Linked DNA regions of Styela clava. The protein of the gene in region 1 interacts with the protein of each later gene in a pairwise test. Links are inferred from orthologs where the notes say so. Each region holds a gene or a part of one and is shown in the gene's direction. Other genes may lie near its edges. The genes, in order: developmentally-regulated GTP-binding protein 2-like and RWD domain-containing protein 1-like.

Region 1 (9,796 bases):
AAGTATATATACCGATAATCATAACTCTCTACAACTGTGATTGGCATTGCAGTTAGCGCCCTGAAGCTTTTTACAATTGGTTTTTATGGTACAGTAAATGAATTTCAAAAATTACATCTTTATTATTTAGTCACTGCAGTTCGTCCCGATACATCCAACGTAATGATCTTGGTATCACGGCCAGCAAATATATAAGATTTAGGCTACTAGTCAATAACGCGAATTTTTTTTTATCTGGTCGATAGCAAGAAATCTCTCCCATACGTTTGAAATGATTATTCTAAAACGTGTGAGAGAGGAAAACGTGTCAATTAAATAAATGGATATCGGTTTTAATATTTTAAAATCCCCTATTTCTGTACTTTCTAATTTTGTTTTTGATAAATGAAATTATAAGACATCCCCCGAAAATAAACCACGGGAGTAATAAACACACACTCTATAAAGTTGTTGGGTTACCGTACATTTGAACCCACGACAATTGCACCTGCATACTATTGCACCTATGGATTTTTTTCTGTTTTGCGGATATTTGAACCCATACTAACCCCAACCCATGGGTTTTAGCATCCGCATAGATTGAACCCGCGGATATACACATGGGTTGAAATGTACGGTCACCAAGTTGTTGATGGTTTAGTACTTTAGTTGATCGTTGACATTGTTTTCAAGCTTTATATGTTAATGTGTATTCTGGATTGCCGTTCTATTTACATCGCTATCACCGAGGAGTATAATATACTATACATATTATGGAAAAAAGACGACGTGACAAAGTCAGACCCAGATGCGTAAACCATTATTTTCAAAATATCAAAAAGGAATACGATCAACAATGTATCCAAAATTTGCACGGAAGTAGTTTAATTATTGTTTTTGTGAAATATATATATCATGTACAACAAGATGGGCCATGTTGTAGGCCTATGTGATTACAATGGGTAAAATGAAAAGATCCACAATAACAAATATCAGTTTAAAGAAGGGATTCTGGAAAATTTAGGATTGAATATGTTTGAAGTTCAATCTGGCATTTATTAATAATTTCCGAAAGGGACTTTCAAAGCCATTCATGCAGATTAATTTATACCAAAATTGAAATAGGCCTACACCATGTTATGCTCGAATTCGAAAACTGCGTACCTGTACTACATCTCTGAATCCATAGCAAACGGTTTACATGTATCAGATCAATAGCTTCCCAAACCACCATGCATTTCCTGAATGTGGACGCACAACACATTAAATGGATCATGACTGCATGAGTGGGCTGGAGCAATCAAAATTGTGTACTATTATGAAATCCCGTTAAAAATACTATAATATGAGTGTAACTTGGTATTTGTTTTCTATGATCCGCTTTATATGCAATGTGTGACAACAAGATATCGAGAAGCTTTTTTTGCTTCGTCGTTTACTTTACACCACCGAGTGGCAAAATTTCCAAACGTTTTTTGAGTGTTCACTTTGCACTGACTGTCAAGTTTCTATTAGCATGTACTTAATCTTATGTAACGAACAATATCGGCAATATTTTTAGGATATCGGCATTGGCAAAAATGACCCACATTTCCAATATCTTTAACCGTCTTTATATCTTTATGGGCAGTTTATTTGACATTTTTCAGCAAACCGATGATTTCAAAAAAAGAATCCATTTTCAGATTTTATAAACGCCAACTTGCGAAAACACTTTGAGTAATTTTTTTGGGGTCAGAGGTTGATAAATATCCACTTTGTCACCATTGATGACTACGCAACACCTCTGTGAAGCTAGCAGAACTTTCAGCCAGAATATTTTTACACATTGAATATAGGTTCCACGCGCATATAAATTTCACTTATAGTTACATATGAAACTGAAAAGGCTGATCAAAATATAATTTTAGCACGGAAATACATGAAAAATCTTCAAACTGAATGAATACATTGAATTTACCAAGAAAATAGTGTTTAAAAAAAGACTAACTCAGCGAAAAATGAATTTTCAGGTATTCCGCAAATACGAAGTTTCGAAAAATTATCCTTTTCGGAACCTCGATTCCCTGAAAACCGCCAATAAAGACAGCACCACGACACATTTAGAAAAAAGCAGATATCCTATAAATTCGATTTTTCTATAACAGAACAGTAGCAGCACGTCTTGGCTTGACCATATATATTACCAAACATATCGTGTAATCTAAATTTTACAAACGGCATGGACGTAACAAATTTAAAATTTATTTTGTATTTCAACTAAATTTGCTAGATAATTGATTAAATATCATTTTCTCTTTGTCACACATTAATACCGTACATCTATTAAACTTGGAATACGCTGCGGGAAGTATAAAACAGCAAAAAAACAATTGCGACTTCTAGTGGATTCTGTCCTGGATTACAAAAAATTATCGTTTTTAAAATGGCGATTTTTTGAAAACCACCAATAAAGGCAGCACTACGACATATTCGGATAAAAGCACATATATTATAGATTCGATTTTATTATGCCAGAACAGTAGCATCACGTTTTGACTTGGCCATATATAATACCAAACATAGCGTATATTCTTCAATTTTTTAAACAACGGTACGTAACATATTAAAAAAGGGTTTGTATTTGAACTAAAGTTGCAGGATAATTGATCAAATATCTTTTTTTTTTTGTCGCTCATCAATACTGTACGTCTATTCAACTTAGAATAAGTTTCAGAAAGTATAAAGTAATAATAAAAAAAAATTTGCGCATTCTCGTGAATTAGTTTGAGAATTTCGAAAATTATCGTTTTTGGAGTGGTGATTTCTCAAAAACCGCCAATAAAGGCAGCATCACGACACATTCAGAGAAAAGCACATACCTTATAGATTCAATTTTATTATGTCAGAACAGTAGCAGCACGTTTTGACTTTGCCATATATAATACCAAACATAGAGTATATTCTTTAATTTTATGAACAATGTGGACGAAACAAATTTAAAAAGGAATTGTATGTCAACTAAATTTGCTGAACAATTGATAAAATATATATTTTTCTCTTTGCCGCACATTAATACTGTACGTCTATTAAACTTAGAATGAGTTGCGGAAAGTATAAAATACCAAGAAAACATTTTACGCCCTCTCGTGGATTCTTTTCAAAATTTCGAAAAATAATTCGACACATGTCTTACGCCCTATAAAATATTTTTTTAATTTCCCATACATGCCGTTTTTGGCGTGACGATTTCTTGAAAACCGCCAATAAAGGCAGCATTACGACACTTTAGGCGAATAGCAGATACATTGAAGATTCGATTTGACTAAACCAGACCAGTAGCAGCTCGTTTTGATTTGACCATATATAATACCAAACATAGCGTGTATTCAAAATTTCAAAAAACAATGCAGACATACCATATTCAAAAAGAGTTTTTCATTTAAACTAAATTTACTAGATAATTTATCAAACTTTTTTTGTCTTGCTAACACATCAATACTGTACGTTCATTAAAGTTGGAATAAGTTGCGGAAAGCATAGAATATCGAAATATCATTTTACGCCCTCTTGTGGATTATTTTCAAAATTTTGATAATTATCGTTTTTGGAGTGGCGATTTCTAAAAAACTGCCAATAAAGGCAGAACCACGACACATTTGGAAAAAATCATATACCTTACATATTCGACTTTACTATTCTAGAACAGTAACAGCACGTTTTGATTTGGTCATTTATATTACCAAACATAGCGTGTTTTTTAAAATTTTACATCAAAATGGACGTAACGAATTTAAAAAGTTTTCATTTCAACTTAATTTGCTGGATAATTGATCAAATATATTTTTCGCCTTGTTCAGTATTGATGTGTGACTGAGAAAAAATTATATTTGAACAAGTATTCAGTAATTTCGTTTAAAATATGACAGCTTTATAAATTTTTAACGTTAGCATTATTCAAAAATTGAAGAATATACTCTATGTTTGATGTTATATATGGCCAAATCAAATTGTGCTTCTACTGTTGTGGTTTAGTGGAATCGAATCTTTAATGTATCTTCGATTATCCGAAAGTGTCGTAATGCTGCCTTTATTGGCGGTTTTCAAGAAACCGTCACTCTAAAAGCGTATGTTTGGGAAAATTAAAAAAAAGTTATAGTGCGTAATCCACAAGGTATCTGCTTTTCTCCGAATGTGTCGTAGTGCTGCCTTTATTGGGGTTTTTCGAGAAATCGCTATTTCAAACACGATTAATTTTTTAAAAGTAAAAAAATCCACCAGAGGGCTTAAACGAGTTTTGGTATTTTATTCTTTCCGCCACCCATTCCAAGTTTAGACGTACAGTAATAATGTGCGACAAAGAAAAAAAAGATATTTAATTAATTATCCAGCAAATTTGGTTGAAACTCAAACCATTTTTAAATTGTTACTTTTACGTTGTTTATAAAATTGAAGAATATAAGCTATGTTTGGTGTTATATAGGACCAAGTCAAAACGTGCTGCTACTGTTCTGACATGATAAAATCGAATCTATAACGTATGTGCTTTTCTCCGAATGGGTGTGATGTTGCCTTTATTGGCGGTTTTCGAGAAATCGCCACTCCATGAACCATAATTTTCGAAATTTTAAAACAAATTCACGAGGGTGCGTAAAATGTTTTTTATTATTTTATACTTTCTGAAACCTATTCTAAGTTTAATAGACATATTGATGTGCGACAAGGAGAAAAATATATTTGATAATAATCCAGCAAATTTAGTTGAAATACAAAGCACTTTTTAAATATGTTACGTCTGCATTGTTTATGAAATTTTGAATTCACGCTATGTTTAGCAATATATTTGGCCAAGTTTAAACGTGCTGCTATTGTTCTGACATAATGAAATCTAATCTATAACGTATCTGCTTTTCTCCGAATGTGTTGTAGTGCTGCCTTTATTGGCGGTTTTTGAGAAATCGCCCTTATAAAAACGATATTTTTTAGAATAATGAAAAGAATCCACGCGTAAAATGATTTTTATTATTTTATACTTTCCGCAACTCATTCCAAGTTTAATGGACGTACAGAATATATGTATGTCCAAAAGAAAAAGATGTTTGATAAATTATCTAGTAAATTAGTTGAAATACCAAACGGTTTTTAAATATGTTACGTCTGCATTGTTTATTACATTTTGAATACACGCTATGTTTGGTATTATATATGGCCAAGTCAAAACGTGCTGCTACTGTTCTGACATAATGAAATCAAATCTATAAGGTATCTGCTTTTCTCCGAATGTGTCGTAGTGCCGCCTTTATTAGCGGTTTTTGAGAAATTGCCCTTTCAAAAACGATATTTTTTCGAAATTCCGAAAATATCCATCATTTTTTGTTATTTTAAGATTTGCCTCTTATTCCAAGTTTAATGAACGTACAGTTTTGATGTATGACCAAGAGAGAAAAGTATTTGATGAATTATCCAGTAACTTTGGTTGAAATACCAAACCGTTTTTAAATATGTTACATCTACATAGTTGATAAAATTGAAAATTTTATGCTATATTTGGTATCATATATGGCCAAGTTAAAACGTGCTGCTACTGTTCTGACATATTAAAATCGAATCTATAGGATATCTGCTTTTCTCCGAATGTGTCGTAGTGCTGCCTTTATTGGCGGTTTTTGAGAAATCGCCCTTTCAAAAACGATAATTTTGTGATATTTATTAAAGAATCCACAAGAGGGCGTAATTTTTTTTTGGTATTTTAGACTTTCCTCAACTTATTCTAAGTTTATTAAAGTGCATTATTGTTGTGTGACAAAGAGGAAAATATCTTCTTTTATGAACTCCAGTAAATTTAGTTGAAACACAAAATCAGTTTTAAATTTGTTGTATATACATTGTGCATAAAATTGAAAATTATACGCTATGTTTAGTATTATATATGGCCAAGTCAAAACGTGCTGAGACTGTTCTGACATAATGAAATCGAATCTTTGAGGTTTCTACTTTTTACCAATGGTGTTGCAATGCTGCCTTTATTGGAGGTTTTCATGAAACGACCGTCTTAAACGACGAAAATTCAGTCATTTTTAAACAACTCTCAAAAAAGTATAAAAAATTTTTATGCACTGTAACAGACGCTTTAGCTTGTTTACTATATATTAACAATAAGAGGAGTGTAGTTAATGATTGTTTTGCTTTATTTGCTATTGTGAAACTAATCAAAATATACACCTTCTTTTAAAAATCATTGGGAACATTTAATTTTACGCGTGGGTATTTTCTGCGATTCTGTCAGTCACAATTTTGTGTTTTGCTGATAGCTTCACAAAGGGTACGGCAATGTAGCGCATCACTCTGCTTTAGAGGCTCAGATTTTGTTGAGCCAGGCCAACTAGAAGTGCATGTGGTACAAAACTATACATACCGATCTATTTGCTAAATTTGTAAATGCTATCAAGTTTTATTGAATACTGTTTTTCAATTCAGCAGTTAATGTAATAGTGAATGTGGACTGGGAAAAACCCTATAAAAATTATTCTGTAAATTACTGAATTTGAAAGATAATTAGACTATCAAGCTCTAGTTTGCTTCTGGAATTCAAATTGGAGAGAACGCTCGTAAGTTTCTTATAAACCATGGGTATCTTAGAGAAGATATCGGAAGTTGAGAAGGAAATTCAAAGGACACAAAAAAACAAAGCCACTGAATATCATCTTGGGCTGCTGAAAGCTAAACTAGCAAAGTATAGAGCTCAACTTCTTGAAGGGCCAAAGGGATCTGGACAAAAAGGGGAAGGTTTTGATGTCATGAAATCGGGTGATGCCCGCGTAGCTCTCATTGGATTTCCTTCTGTCGGCAAATCAACTCTATTGTCTACGTTAACCAACACGGAAAGTGAGCAAGCATCTTATGAGTTCACAACTTTGACTTGCATCCCTGGAGTAATTGAATATAATGGGGCGAATATTCAACTTCTTGATTTACCAGGAATTATCGAAGGTGCAGCGGGTGGTAAAGGTCGAGGTCGTCAAGTCATTGCAGTTGGTAGAACAGCAGATGTTGTTGTTATGATGCTGGATGCTGCAAAGGGTGAAAAACAGAAAGAACTCCTCACCCTAGAGTTAGAAGCCGTGGGAATTCGTCTCAACAAAAAGGTTCCAAATATTTACTTCAAACTTAAAAAAGGTGGAGGACTGTCATTCAACTCTACATGCGTGTTGACAAAAATAAACGAGAAAATGGTTCAACTAATCCTTCACGAATACAAGATTTTTAATGCTGAAGTTCTCTTTCGCGATGATTATGGACCAGACGAATTTATTGATGTTGTAGTTGGGAATAGAAAATATATGTCATGCCTTTATGTTTACAATAAAATTGATCAAATTTCAATTGAGGAGGTTGACAGGATCGCACGACAACCACATAGTGTTGTCATCAGTTGCAACATGAAATTGAATTTAGACTATCTACTCGAAAAAATGTGGGAGTATTTGGCTCTTATGACTGTATATACAAAAAAGCCTGCAAAAAAGCCAGACTTTAGTGATGGGTTGATTTTACGTGCAAATTGTACTGTGGAGCATGCTTGCCATGCTGTGCATAGATCGTTAGTATCAGGTTTTAAATATGCTCAAGTCTGGGGAAGGAGCGCAAAATACAATGGTCAACATGTAGGCTTGACTCACCAATTATGTCACGAAGATGTTTTACAAATTGTTAAAAAGTGAATATGTAGAACAAAATATATGTAGTGAACTAGGATCTAGTTCACTTTTGTTCGGTGTGACCCGTCCTATGCCAGCAGACAATGATTGGTGATAAAGCAACCTTCCTTAATTAATTTGACTGATCATACTGCTTGAATACCTGGTGATGGCAGAATCAAAATTGTTCCTCCGCAAAATAAAAAACACATATTTGATACTTGTATTTGAATATGATTGTCTTTTATGTTATCGAATAGTCACATCTTTCAGAATTTTATAATTTCAGTAACAAGCTGCTAAATTAAAATTTTTATGATCATTAGGCCTGTTTAAATGTAATTTTGAAATTCAATTTTTGATCGATTGAACTATCTCCACTCTTGTATGTGCAGGGTGACCCCCAAAGAACAGAACCCATAACTTTCTTATAAAGTGATTTATTGTACCCGAAAGTTTCAGCAATGTAAGACGCTCCGCACAAAAATTATGTTAACTCTTAGAGTCTAGAATATATCCTGAATGACCTGGGTTGTGTTTTTTTAGGTCACCCTGTTCGAGGCTTTTATGTTGACATATTTCCCAAATAAGTAGGACATATGGGTATAACAGTTCAAATGTTTATGGCCTCACAAATGTGGGCATTTTTACTGTGAAAAATCTTCTTGTACAGAATTGTATGATAGTAAGTTATATTTATGTAAGCATAAGGCATGGTCATTTCTGGCGATTTTCCCACTCAGAAAAAGGTTGATGTATTGAATGCAATGTCCGTTTAATTTGGGATACAACCATCCATGCAAATCAATCAAACAAATTTTCACAATGTATGAAAAACACCTTTCTTGGATAAAATGAAAGTTGTTCAAATAAATATATTAGTTTTTTTATATGGAAATGGAATGCCTCTACCATATATCAGAATTGACTAATTCCATATTATTACGTAGCAGTATTGTACAAGTGTGGCGAGTGGCGACCTTGTTCTTTTGAAATTCAACTTATTCCTAATAAATCAATTCTGTATTAAAACAACTTTATTACAGTTAACTGTCATTTTTGTTTTGCCATTTAGATTATCTGATGAATTACAAAGCATGGAGAACTCATTCAAGCTCCATGTGTCTTATATAGATAATGAAAATATCCACAGATCTGAGCAGATAGTTTTGGATGTGCAATCACCTATTTATAAACAATTTAGAGAAAAAATCAATTCAACATTTGGTTTATCTTCGGATGATTACGAGTTGTATTTTGGATTGAAACGGTTAGACTGTAATCCTGACCAAGAGATGAAGGAGTGGGGATTGCAGTCAGGTAATAGACTCCATGCTATTAGAAAGAAATTACCATCAACAAAACAGGATGTTCCGAAGATAGATTACGCTAAAGTACAAAATGCTTCTTATGGTTTGGCTACCATGATTCAACATGAGAATCGATCGCATAAAAAATCAGCACTTACCAAACTTTTTGAAGATAAAAAAACTATTGACAAAATTATTTCAAACATATCAGGGCTCAGAGAGGACCGTGCAGCAATGGATATTCTGCAGAATGCAAAGTTGTTTAAAGTTATAGTTAATCCAAAATATTTGAAAAATATTGTTGAAAAGCACCCTTGTTTGGCCATAGCTTTTGAGGCAATGTGGAATACATTGATGACCTCCAGTAAATACTCCAATACAGCAGCTTCCACAAGCAGTACGGTTTCTATGGACGTGGATGCGGGTCAGTCAAATGAAAGTCATCCTTCATCTTCAAACCAAGCTTCTAATATGATAACTTTGTCTCAATTATCTGCCGCTATTGCGCAAGCGACACCACCAAGTGAGGGCTACAATTTTCCATATTCAGCTTTCAATACACCAAACTCAAACACAACCAGTAATACATCAACTACACCTCAAGAAAGAAATGAAACCAGACCTCAGCAGCTCACACCAGAAGCTTTAAACCAAGCGATGCAAGAAGCATTAATGTCAACTGGTCTTCGAGAAGTCTCTCAATCTCTACAAAGTGAAAGTTCTGCTCCAAGAAGCAATGATTCTGTGTTAAGTGAGGATGTAATGCGAGCAGGACTTGAACAGCTTCATTCAATGGGTATAACTGATGATGAAGCCAGTAGGCATGCATTA
Region 2 (10,355 bases), on another chromosome or scaffold:
TTTGAAAATGCCCAGCCCTATTATTAGTATGAGTAAAAAGGCTTAAAAACCCGTTAAAATTCGTCTAAATTGAAAAAGGCAATTATGGATTTTTCCGATGAAAATATTTAATTATCCCGGTCGTAACAATCGCACCTGTCAAAATAACCTAACTTCCCCTCAGGCAATATTAGTTTTAATTGAATCATGTCCCATTAATCTTAGTTGATGGAAGAGTCATTGCACTTAGATGACCCAGCAATACAGTAATAAATGAAACAATATCTGTATTATGAATGTAAAGATGACAAAAAGAAAACAAGGCCCGAAACACGTGTGCCCGAGTGTAATAGCAGTTCATGGCTGATGCGTAATGATGCAAGAACCTACATGAATGAATTTGTAAGTATAAACTTAGGCCTAATACACAACAACAATATGTACAATGCCGCATGATGGTCACCATGTATATTCATATCGATGATAAATAAAGCACAACCGGCGTTAGCAAAACGATTTAATTTGCAACCTAAATCGTTTTGTCAACACCGATTGTGCTTTATTCATCATCGATATGTACAATAGTCAGTCGATGTCCACAATAGTTGGTCTCGTTCGGCATTGCCGCACAATTTATTACAGCGTGGATGAGATGGTGGCGTGATTTTTCACTGTTTTTGCGCGTTTGCGTTTGGTTTTTGGTAGTTTTCACTGTTTTGGCAAGATTTTTTTACTCTTTTTGCAAGATTTTTGACGTTTTTATTCTGTTTTCACAGGGCAGTGATTCTATGAGAGATGCCATCATAAGCCTGAGGCCTCAACCACCGCGCTCAAATTCTGTTACATTTTAAATAAACAAACAAACATGTCCAGGGTTAAGATTCCTTCACTGCGGATTAAATTGTTTTTCTCTATTCAATAAAACGAATCAAATTCGTGAAGTAGGCTATGAAGCATCGACGCCCGATAACGATGAGTTGTTTGTAATTCTAAACTAGGTCAGACATTCGCGGCGCCGTAATTTATTCGTTTGTTTATCCCAAATAGTAAAATGGAACAAGAGGATGACGGGAGAGACGGAGTAGGGCAATCGGATACGGCAAAAGTACTTTACGATAATCGGTGGATGTGTTTGTATGTATATCAGCTTATATAAATGAGGGGGAAGTGGGCAGGAATAAATTGCGAAAACATATTGTAGACTGTATATACAATTATTGTTCCATATATGACATGAACTTGTATAAATTATTAGATGGCCACTGGTCCCCGACCATGACGTCCATACATCTAAAACAAATGAAAAATAATTGGACGAGAGGCCGTGGTTCGCCATGTAATTGATCCGCCTTATCAGCTTTCCTCAGCTTTAAAACCCAGGATTGGGAAGAATTTTTAAGAGACAAAATCAAGTATATTTTTTTCAATCAGTAAAAAATACTTTCATGCAAAATACAAAAATAAAATTCAATCACAGGATCTTACTGGGATGGAAGCCGCAAAGAATCAAAGATGGTTATCGAGCAGCGACACCCAAGGTTCCAAATATCTAATTACAAGATTGTGAAATTTAGTATAGTAACTACTGTTTTTTGTCGCGAGTATAGTTTTGAACTGTATAGAAAAGTAAACAACTGAAGCATTCTGAGACAGATAAATGTCTATGTCAAACATACATGTCGAGAAAGGCAACCTGGCAAGTCAATTTCCATGAAAAAATTAAAAATATTTGACGTTATACCATAAAACATCTATGTGCAACATACATGGCGAGAAAGGCAATCTGGCAAGTCAATTTTCATAAAAGAAAATCGAAAATATTTGAGGTTATAACATAAAACATCTATGTCCAACATAAATGTCGAGAAAGGCAATCTGGCAAGTCAATTTTCATAAAAGAAAATCGAAAATATTTGACGTTATTCCATAAAACATTTGTGTGCAACATACATGGCGAGAAAGGCAATCTGGCAAGTCAATTTTCATAAAAGAAAATCGAAAATATTTGAGGGTATAACATAAAACATCCATGTCCAACATAAATGTCGAGAAAGGCAATCTGGCAAGTCAATTTTCATAAAAGAAAATCGAAAATATTTGACGTTATACCATAAAACATCTGTGTGCAACATACATGGCGAGAAAGGCAATCTGGCAAGTCAATTTTCATAAAAGAAAATCGAAAATATTTGAGGTTAGACATAAAACATCTATGTCCAACATACATGTCAAAAGTGGCAAAGTCGCAAGTCAATTTCCGTAAGAAAAAAAATCAAAATTCATGCGTAAAATGACAGAATATTTCTACCTAAACCACGATGTTTTAATTCTGCATTCAGCAATAGTTAGAATGCAATAATTTTGAATGTGATGTCACTATGCTGTACATCACCGTAAAAGTGAGAAAAACTAAATTAGTTTATTTTAAGACACGATCGCGAAGAGATTGTAAAAATCTCCCATTACAAGACAACACATTGGAATTTCGAAACTATGGCTGTTGAAAAATCGGTCTTCCGAAGTATGTGCGCCAAGATGGCGCACAACCTGAACCTTAACCTGTTACACATACTATGTTCAGGTTGTGCGCCATCTTGGTGAACATACTACGGAAATACCAAAAAAGATAAGTAAATCCTCAATCACTGCAGGAAACCCAAATCAATTTGCGTCACATTTCAAGAATTTCAGAGTATTGCATTTTTGTAATTTCCAGATCTGCAGAGCAAGACCTAAAATGGACATAAGGCAATTACTGAACTAAAGCATGCAATGAGCGAAGACAAAAGATCAGGAAAATGCAATTCCTGAAATATGTGGCATAAACCAACGGCCGGCAACCAACTTGCCTAATGTTGAACAAGTTCATGAACACCATCTTGTGCCATATTTGGGAAACACGAAACAATGGAGTCTTATGGGAAATTTTCGTCGTGTTGTTGTACCGAATCGAATAAGTCCGCTTTTATAAGGGCTAGAATGAAACCGAAAGGTGGATTTTGAACTTTAAGATATATGCTATCCAAATATATAACGCAATTAGGAATGAAAAACTATCTAATGCGTTAAATTTGACTACAAACACAGCGTAGAACCATTTTTGGTCATTTTTTCAAAGATTTTATAGTGATACGCCAATTTGAGGCTGTAAAATGTCTCCGCAACAATCCTACAATGTTATTTATTCTTCTAGCGCAGCTTGGAGCTCAGCAGTAGGCCATTATGGAGCTTGACAGACGAAAAATGTTAACCAGAAAATAGAAACGGCCATTGAAGCAAAGTCGGGTCGGCCGGTAATTTCGACGAATAAATACAACTTTTGATCTGTGACGTCATCTCTGCCGAGAACAATAGCCACAAGATGGCGTCCATTGTCTGAGCGTTGCCTCGCTTATATTATATATACGCTTTGGCATAAACTACTTTGGTTTCACAATAGCGATCCGGGTTATAGCCAGGCATTTTCAAAAGGGGTTCTGAAATTTCTAATTGCCAAGTTGAACCGAAACAGCTAGCGGGTCCGGGTTTCCAATAGTCTTGAATGTGTTTGAAGCCCGGAAAATTGTATGTATGGCCCCACCCTGGTAACGATAAATACGATTGGCAAAAAGTAAAACGAGGATATCGGTCAGAGACCGAAGACTTATCGATCGAAAGTTGGGGGATCCCCAAAACAGCGCTCTTACTCCATTGTGACACCTTGTGATCCATCACTAATTAATTAATAACTCGCTAATTATACGACATAATTCATTCAAAATCAATAGGCTTCTGGTCCGACATATGATGAATGCACATGCAAAATCTGGAGCAGATTCAATCTCGCTTTCGTGAGATATCGCGAGCATCTAACAGACAGACAGACAGACAAATACCTATCAACATAGGTATCATAGACATCAAAAAGTTTGTTTGCTACACAAGTTGGACGACCGAACGATAACACGTTCGTGTTTTTATCTTTTTTATAATATGTTTGTGAGTGTAAATTGGGTAAACAGGCACAATGTATTTCTCCGTGTTTCAAACCTTACTAGAGGTTTTGCCAGTTTTCCCGATTTTTCCATTATTCTGTGTGTTTATGTTTTGTATGTTCATGATTTGTGCTGTGTAAGTATTTAGAGAAATTAAAATGAATTTATTATATTATAAAAAAAAAAAATGTTTATAATGTTCTTTCAATCCATTGGTTTTCATTTAAAGAAGTTTCACATTTGAAGCCAGTGATCCCTTCTGGCCTTGCTCTACGTTGAAGCTCACTTTCTCGCCTTCAGCCAGTGTCTTGAATCCTTCCCTTGCTATTTCCCTGAAATGCACAAAAACATCAGAACCTTTCTCTCGTTTGATAAATCCGAACCCTTTCTCATCGCTGAACCACTTGACGGTTCCAGTTTCGGACATCTTGATAGTTAAGTATATTAACCTGCAAAACACAAGGCAGAGTATTTTAGAGGAGCTTACGACAACGACTTAGTATTACCATATTTTACGGACCATAAGGCTGAGTTACACCGGTGTCAACAAGTTGCTTAGATTGTGTTTGATTCATACATAAAGCGCATCGTACTATAAGACGCAACAGGTAAGGTCTTGACTGTGAGTCTGTAGGCAATAAATCTTGAAGCACTTACTACGTTTCTATTTCTACAATACATATAATCCGTCTGTACTGCTTTGCACTGTCGTTTCCATGGTTACTTATATAGCTTGGAGTCGTTTCGTTGGAAATCCGGGTCACCGCGCTGTACTACTACTTTCCCGTAAACTTCTTTTTGGCTCTCCAGAAGTGTGTGTACCAGTATGGAGGTACCAATTTTGTTCGCCTACTTTACATCGAGTTGTGTAAAGGGTAGTGTAATAGGTAGCCTATTGGTAGTGCGTATATTCACTTGGCTAACACAGACACTTCCCGAACTCGTAATGAAACTAAAATAAGGAAAATCGAAATAAACTTATGACCTAACAATAACCTGGTACACATACTACGAGAGTACCAATTTTTTATGCTATTGTCTATTAGCCTACTGTAAGGCCAACTAAGCTGACCGACACCTAAAGGACCATTCGCAGTCTTGCTATTATAAACATGAAAGCGTCGATCCGAATCTAAACTAATTAGCTCTATGTCAGTGGCTCAGTATCAATATATCACGTCCCATACTGGTGCAAGGCTTGACTGTAGTATTTCACAGTCTTGTGATATCCCAGCCACCCAGAGTGTGATGAATTGAGTAAGCAATGCAGAGCAGAAAGAGAAGCCGGTCTTTCCAAATAATAATAGTCTCTTGCATATTGTTAGATATCAATGTTTGCTCGCACAAGACCTTGTTCGGGGCAAAAGACGTCATAAAAAAACTACACAGTGACGCACTATTGCTTGCACGATGCCGCCCACAGATGTGTCTGCAGCCCCCACCCACAGATTTGCGTGCTTGCGTTGAAGTTATAGGGCATGGGAACTGCAAAAATGTTGTTTAGAGAGAATCACTTCTTTTCACATTAGTCCAGTAGAGTAATATTTTTTACTTTGACTTATTTTCACAAATTTTCTTCGCGTCCTACGGCTGGCAAATATAATTCATGGAAACAGATTTACATGACATTCGGTAAAATTCCATTGACATGTGTCTGGAATTTTTGTGACACTGCGACACCGGTAACCAAATTTGTCCAGTGGTTAAGCTAAGATATAGGATAGGATTCACATATTTATTCCAGGGGAGAGGAAAGCCGATAAGTCGTCTTATCCATATGGCGAACCACGGCCTCTCGTCCGGTTACCAGTCCAGGTCGGGGGTATGGGATAAGTTAGTTATTTGTTTTCGGAAGCGTGGACATGATGGTAGAGGCAGCCGTAACCTAGATATGGACCACCAGACATCATGAATGCGACAATGATTCATGAATGACGAAATAAAATATATGAATCTGACGCTTGGACCTGATGTAGGAGGAAGCTGTAACCGATCAACGGCTACGTGAACGGTCACTCTACGGCGGTGAGGAGTCTTCTTGCATATAATTATTATCCCTCGGGATTCGAACCTACGAATCCGCGCAGGGTAATCAGAGGTGCAATGGCAAGCGTATGGATGTTTCGATTTCCTTGTTTATTTCCAAAACAATGGCTAATCAGCAATAAGTCAGTGATGATGTAACAATGGCAACCGTACAGTGTGTCAGACAATTCTTTCGCTAAGCAGGATTGTGAATATTGGCCTGTTTTAGCAGTTTTTCGTGTTAGGTTTTATTTGTGTTTCAAAAAATTAGTTGTAAATCAAATAATTTAAATTTAATTATGTTTTCCAAGGAGCTTTAATTTAGTTGCAATAATAAAAAATGAGTTCTGAAAAAGCTGTGAGATTTTGGGCTAAAGTTAGCTATGAGTACCTGCAAGTGGCACATGGCGTGGGTAATTATTTTTATATATAAGAATTGTGTTTTGAACACGTAAACTAGTTGATAAGCGCCTGCTCCCTCCTAACACTTTTAAAATAGATATCAAAAATTACTTTGAAGAATATCCTGGGGTAGGAAAAACGTTCATTCCTGAAGCTTAGCACGATGCGCCGCGATTTACATGACATTCGGTAAAATTCAATTGACATGTGTCTGTAATTTTGCTGACTTCGTAATCGCTAAATTAGTCCAGTGGCCCTTTGCGATCAAGCAGTCAAGTGTTCAATTAATCATCAATCGAGTATTGCTCTTCAACTATTGCGAAAATATTCTTCGAGTCAGAAATGTGATCCTGACAAAATGACTGACCACGAAGAAGAACAGAACACTGAGATAGAAGCTTTAGAATCGATTTATTACGATTCGTTCCAAGTAATATCGGAGAAGCCTCGCAGCTTTGAACTAACGGTCACTGTTGAAGACGCCGAGGAAGGTGGGTGTGTTTGATTAGTAAGGATAGGAATTTATATATTTTTTCAAGAAAGTTAAAAAACCGAACGGGTGGCTGATAAATCACATTGCTATTTGAAATAAATAAAAGTAATAGCCAAAAGAATACAATCTTCAACCACTGCTGTGGCGGTGTGGCTCATCATGCCAATATACTCGACACTGCATATCTGATTACCCTGTGTGGGTTCGCAGGTTTGGATCCCATGCGGGGAAGGTCATGTGGGAGAGGATTGCTGGACTCCTTGCCGCCATAGGGTGGTACACGTAACAGCTTGTCGGTTACAGCCTTCAGTACGGCACACTATACAGATCAGGTGGCATTGTCTCGTTTCAAAGAAACCCATTTTACCAATGATCAGACAGCCCTCCTTTGGGGGACGTCTGGACATTGTTGTCCCTCAATATCGGTAAAAATACAGTATAACGCATCTGATGTGGTGCCAGACGCCCCTCGTTTGAGTGTTTGTTTTATTGAACCAAATGGAAGGAAATTTTTTGGAATTTGGATAGTGTGCCGAACTGGCCTTCTCGACCATCAAGTCCGTGCTCCCGAAAACAAATACCTAACTAATCCCATACCCGACCTGGACTGGTAACCGGACGGGAGGCCGTGGTTCAGCATATGGTAGAGCTGTCCCATCGGCTTTCCCCCGAGATGATTATGTAAATCATATCCTATCCCATTGTGCCAATTAATGTATTAATGTTTGAGACTTCATTTTTTCATCCTTGTTTTTATATTAATTATCTCAGATGAGAACATTTTCGCAAAAATCCAATTCACATACACACCGACGTATCCTGACGAAGCCCCAATTTACGAGCTGATAGAATGCGAAAACTTATCAGCTGAAGATGAAGAAAAAATTAAAACAATCATCGAAAAAGAAATTGAAGATAATTTAGGAATGGTGATGATTTTTACTGTCGTTACTGCAATTCAAGAATTTTTAAACGACGTCAAAGATGGCATAAAAAGGAGAGAACAAGATGAAAAAGAGAGACATGAGAGAGAATTAGAAGCAGAAGAAAATAAAAAATTTCACGGTACACCAGTTACTGTCGAAACTTTTCTCGTCTGGAAATTAAAATTTGATGAAGAAATGAAAGAATTGCAGAAACTTGAAATGAAAATGACTGAAAAGAGGAAAATGACTGGAAAGGAGCTGTTCCTCTCAGACGCTAAATTATTAGAAAATGAGTTCCTTGAGGGGGAAACTGAGGGAGTAACGATTGACGAGAGCTTGTTTGAGGATCTCGATGATTTGGACTTTGAAGATAGTGATGACCCAGACTTTGATCCTGCTCTGTGCTCATGACACAGTTGTGAATTTTTTTTCCATATTTATCTGGGGGGAGGAGAGGTTGATAATGGGTGATTTTCATGTTAATCACAGCCTCTAAGTTGGATCCAATGTCTTTTGGTTTTTGTGGGGAATGTTGGCCAGTTGACTGTTCCATGTGCACGGACTAGAATGAGCTGTGAACACCCAGTTTGATGCAGTGATTAGAAGGCGCTCCAAAAGTGTGTGTACTAACATAGAGGTAACTAATTTTGTTCGCCTACTTCACATCAAGATATGTAAAGCGACTGAAACCTATGGGTAGCGGTATATTCACTTGGCTAACACAGACAGTCCCCGAACTCGTAATAGAACTAAAATAAGGAAAATCCGAATAAAATTATGGCCTAACCCTTTTTTCATACTCATTCTGGGGGAGGGAGTCGATAATGGGTAATTTAATCGCAGCCTCTAAGTTCGATGCAATGTCTTCTGGCCCAGGTTTCGTATGAGAATTAATGGCCAGTCGACTGTAACATGTTCTTAGACTTGGATAGAGAAAGAGCCGCGACACTGGTATGCTCCCCAGCTTTTCAATTCAAGGGTGGGGGGGGGGGGGGTTACAAATTTTAAAGGCGGCAGGTATTTGCTTTTAAAGATTAAACTATTTCCAACCTATACAAATAAATTATGTATGACCATACAGCTCTCCATGTAATTGCCTTCTTTGTATAACATGCTTAGGTTATCAATTTGTGTCACAAAATAAGTCAGTTTTCCTTTAGGTTTTTGTGTAAATTTCTGCAAATTATATTTAAAAATGAAGTTTATTTGAAGTTAAACTTATTTTAAGTTTATTTGTTGATATGATTCAAACAGTGGCATGATAATGTAAGATTTTCTCAGTAGAAAACCATGCACAGGTGTTCACAAGTATATGATATGGTTTCGTAAATGTTTGGGACTCGAGTCACAATTTATTCATAGTTTTGAGTCCTCTTAAATTGGGGGGTGCAACATTTTTTGTCGCTGGGCCATATAATCAATTTCAGACATCTATCTTGTTGGGCGACACAAAAATATTAGATTTCACATGTACACAATGTATGGCAAAAGCAACTAATATGAGGGATTGTTATGTCACTATATAATTTTGTAGATAAGCGCTATGAAAACCTGCATCAACGAAATACATCAGCGACAACCAGAGCGTCTCAGGAAAGGGTTCACTAACCTTACAGCAATCAAGGCAAGCGCAAAAAACATGCATTTTCACCCGAGTGCCTTTTAAACTATCGAATTAAGATTTTATGCTTAATGGGGAGAAATCCGAGTGTTGACAAAGGCCACACTAAATAACTTGCCCGGACCACCTGTTGCACACCCCTGCTCTAAATCAACCACTAGTGTAGCTCTACTCAGTGATTGGCTCGACTTTTTGACCTGGATGACACGTTACTTTGGGTTTAGGGGCTTCTGCACCAGGGTTGGTTGAAACCAGTGGTGGGATATAAATTTTTTGTCAGCCGGTTTCATCACAAAAGTCATATTTTTTGGTCGGTTCTGTTACATGATTTTTTAGTAATGCTAACTGCTTAGTAGGGCTGGGCGTTTTCGAATACCTGATGATTTCAGAATCGAATATTTTTTTCGAATCTAATCTCGAATACTTGGGAGATATATAATTGTATGTAACTTTCTTGTTTTATTGGGTCCTCCAGACACATAAATTACTGGAAACGTAATATACATCACTCAGACAGATTGCTGAGCTTTCACGCACAACAAGAAACACATTTTATCAATAACTCACTACAGAGAATAGTCATATGTCAGAATTGCGTTGAAAAAGTATGGCTTCAATAAAAAAAATTGAGAAACTTAACTCGATAATTGGCGGAAAGAAAAAAAAACGGCCTTTCGAAATTTCGCTCTGAACCGATTCGAATAATTTACTATTCGAATCGAAATGCCCAGTCCTACTGGTTAGCTGATCTCATAAAATTCCGTAAGACGGTCCTATAGAACTGGCTGAATCCCACAACTGGTTGGAACCCCCCTTTTTTAAATGTAAAAAAAAATAAAAAATTTCGGACCTCCTGAAGTATGCGCACCAAGATGGCGTACAACCTAAACATAGTATGTGTGTACCGGTTCGGATTCAGGTTGTGCGACATTTTG

What was found.
Region 2: the proteins of developmentally-regulated GTP-binding protein 2-like (region 1) and RWD domain-containing protein 1-like interact in binary tests that used the Homo sapiens proteins (3 or more experiments, as listed by UniProt). The link is inferred for Styela clava from reciprocal best matches to the Homo sapiens genes DRG2 and RWDD1.

Annotation. Positions count from the first base shown.
Region 1 is NC_135250.1:12,761,455-12,771,250, forward strand, and holds developmentally-regulated GTP-binding protein 2-like, read left to right. Parts: upstream 1-6,417; 5' UTR 6,418-6,584; coding exon 6,585-7,679; 3' UTR 7,680-8,731; downstream 8,732-9,796. Other genes in the region: ubiquitin-like protein 7, read left to right, coding at 8,753-9,796. UniProt on the Homo sapiens protein: Catalyzes the conversion of GTP to GDP through hydrolysis of the gamma-phosphate bond in GTP. When hydroxylated at C-3 of 'Lys-21' by JMJD7, may bind to RNA and play a role in translation.
Region 2 is NC_135262.1:382,480-392,834, forward strand, and holds RWD domain-containing protein 1-like, read left to right. Parts: upstream 1-6,427; 5' UTR 6,428-6,738; coding exon 6,739-6,871; intron 6,872-7,644; coding exon 7,645-8,210; 3' UTR 8,211-10,195; downstream 10,196-10,355. UniProt on the Homo sapiens protein: Protects DRG2 from proteolytic degradation.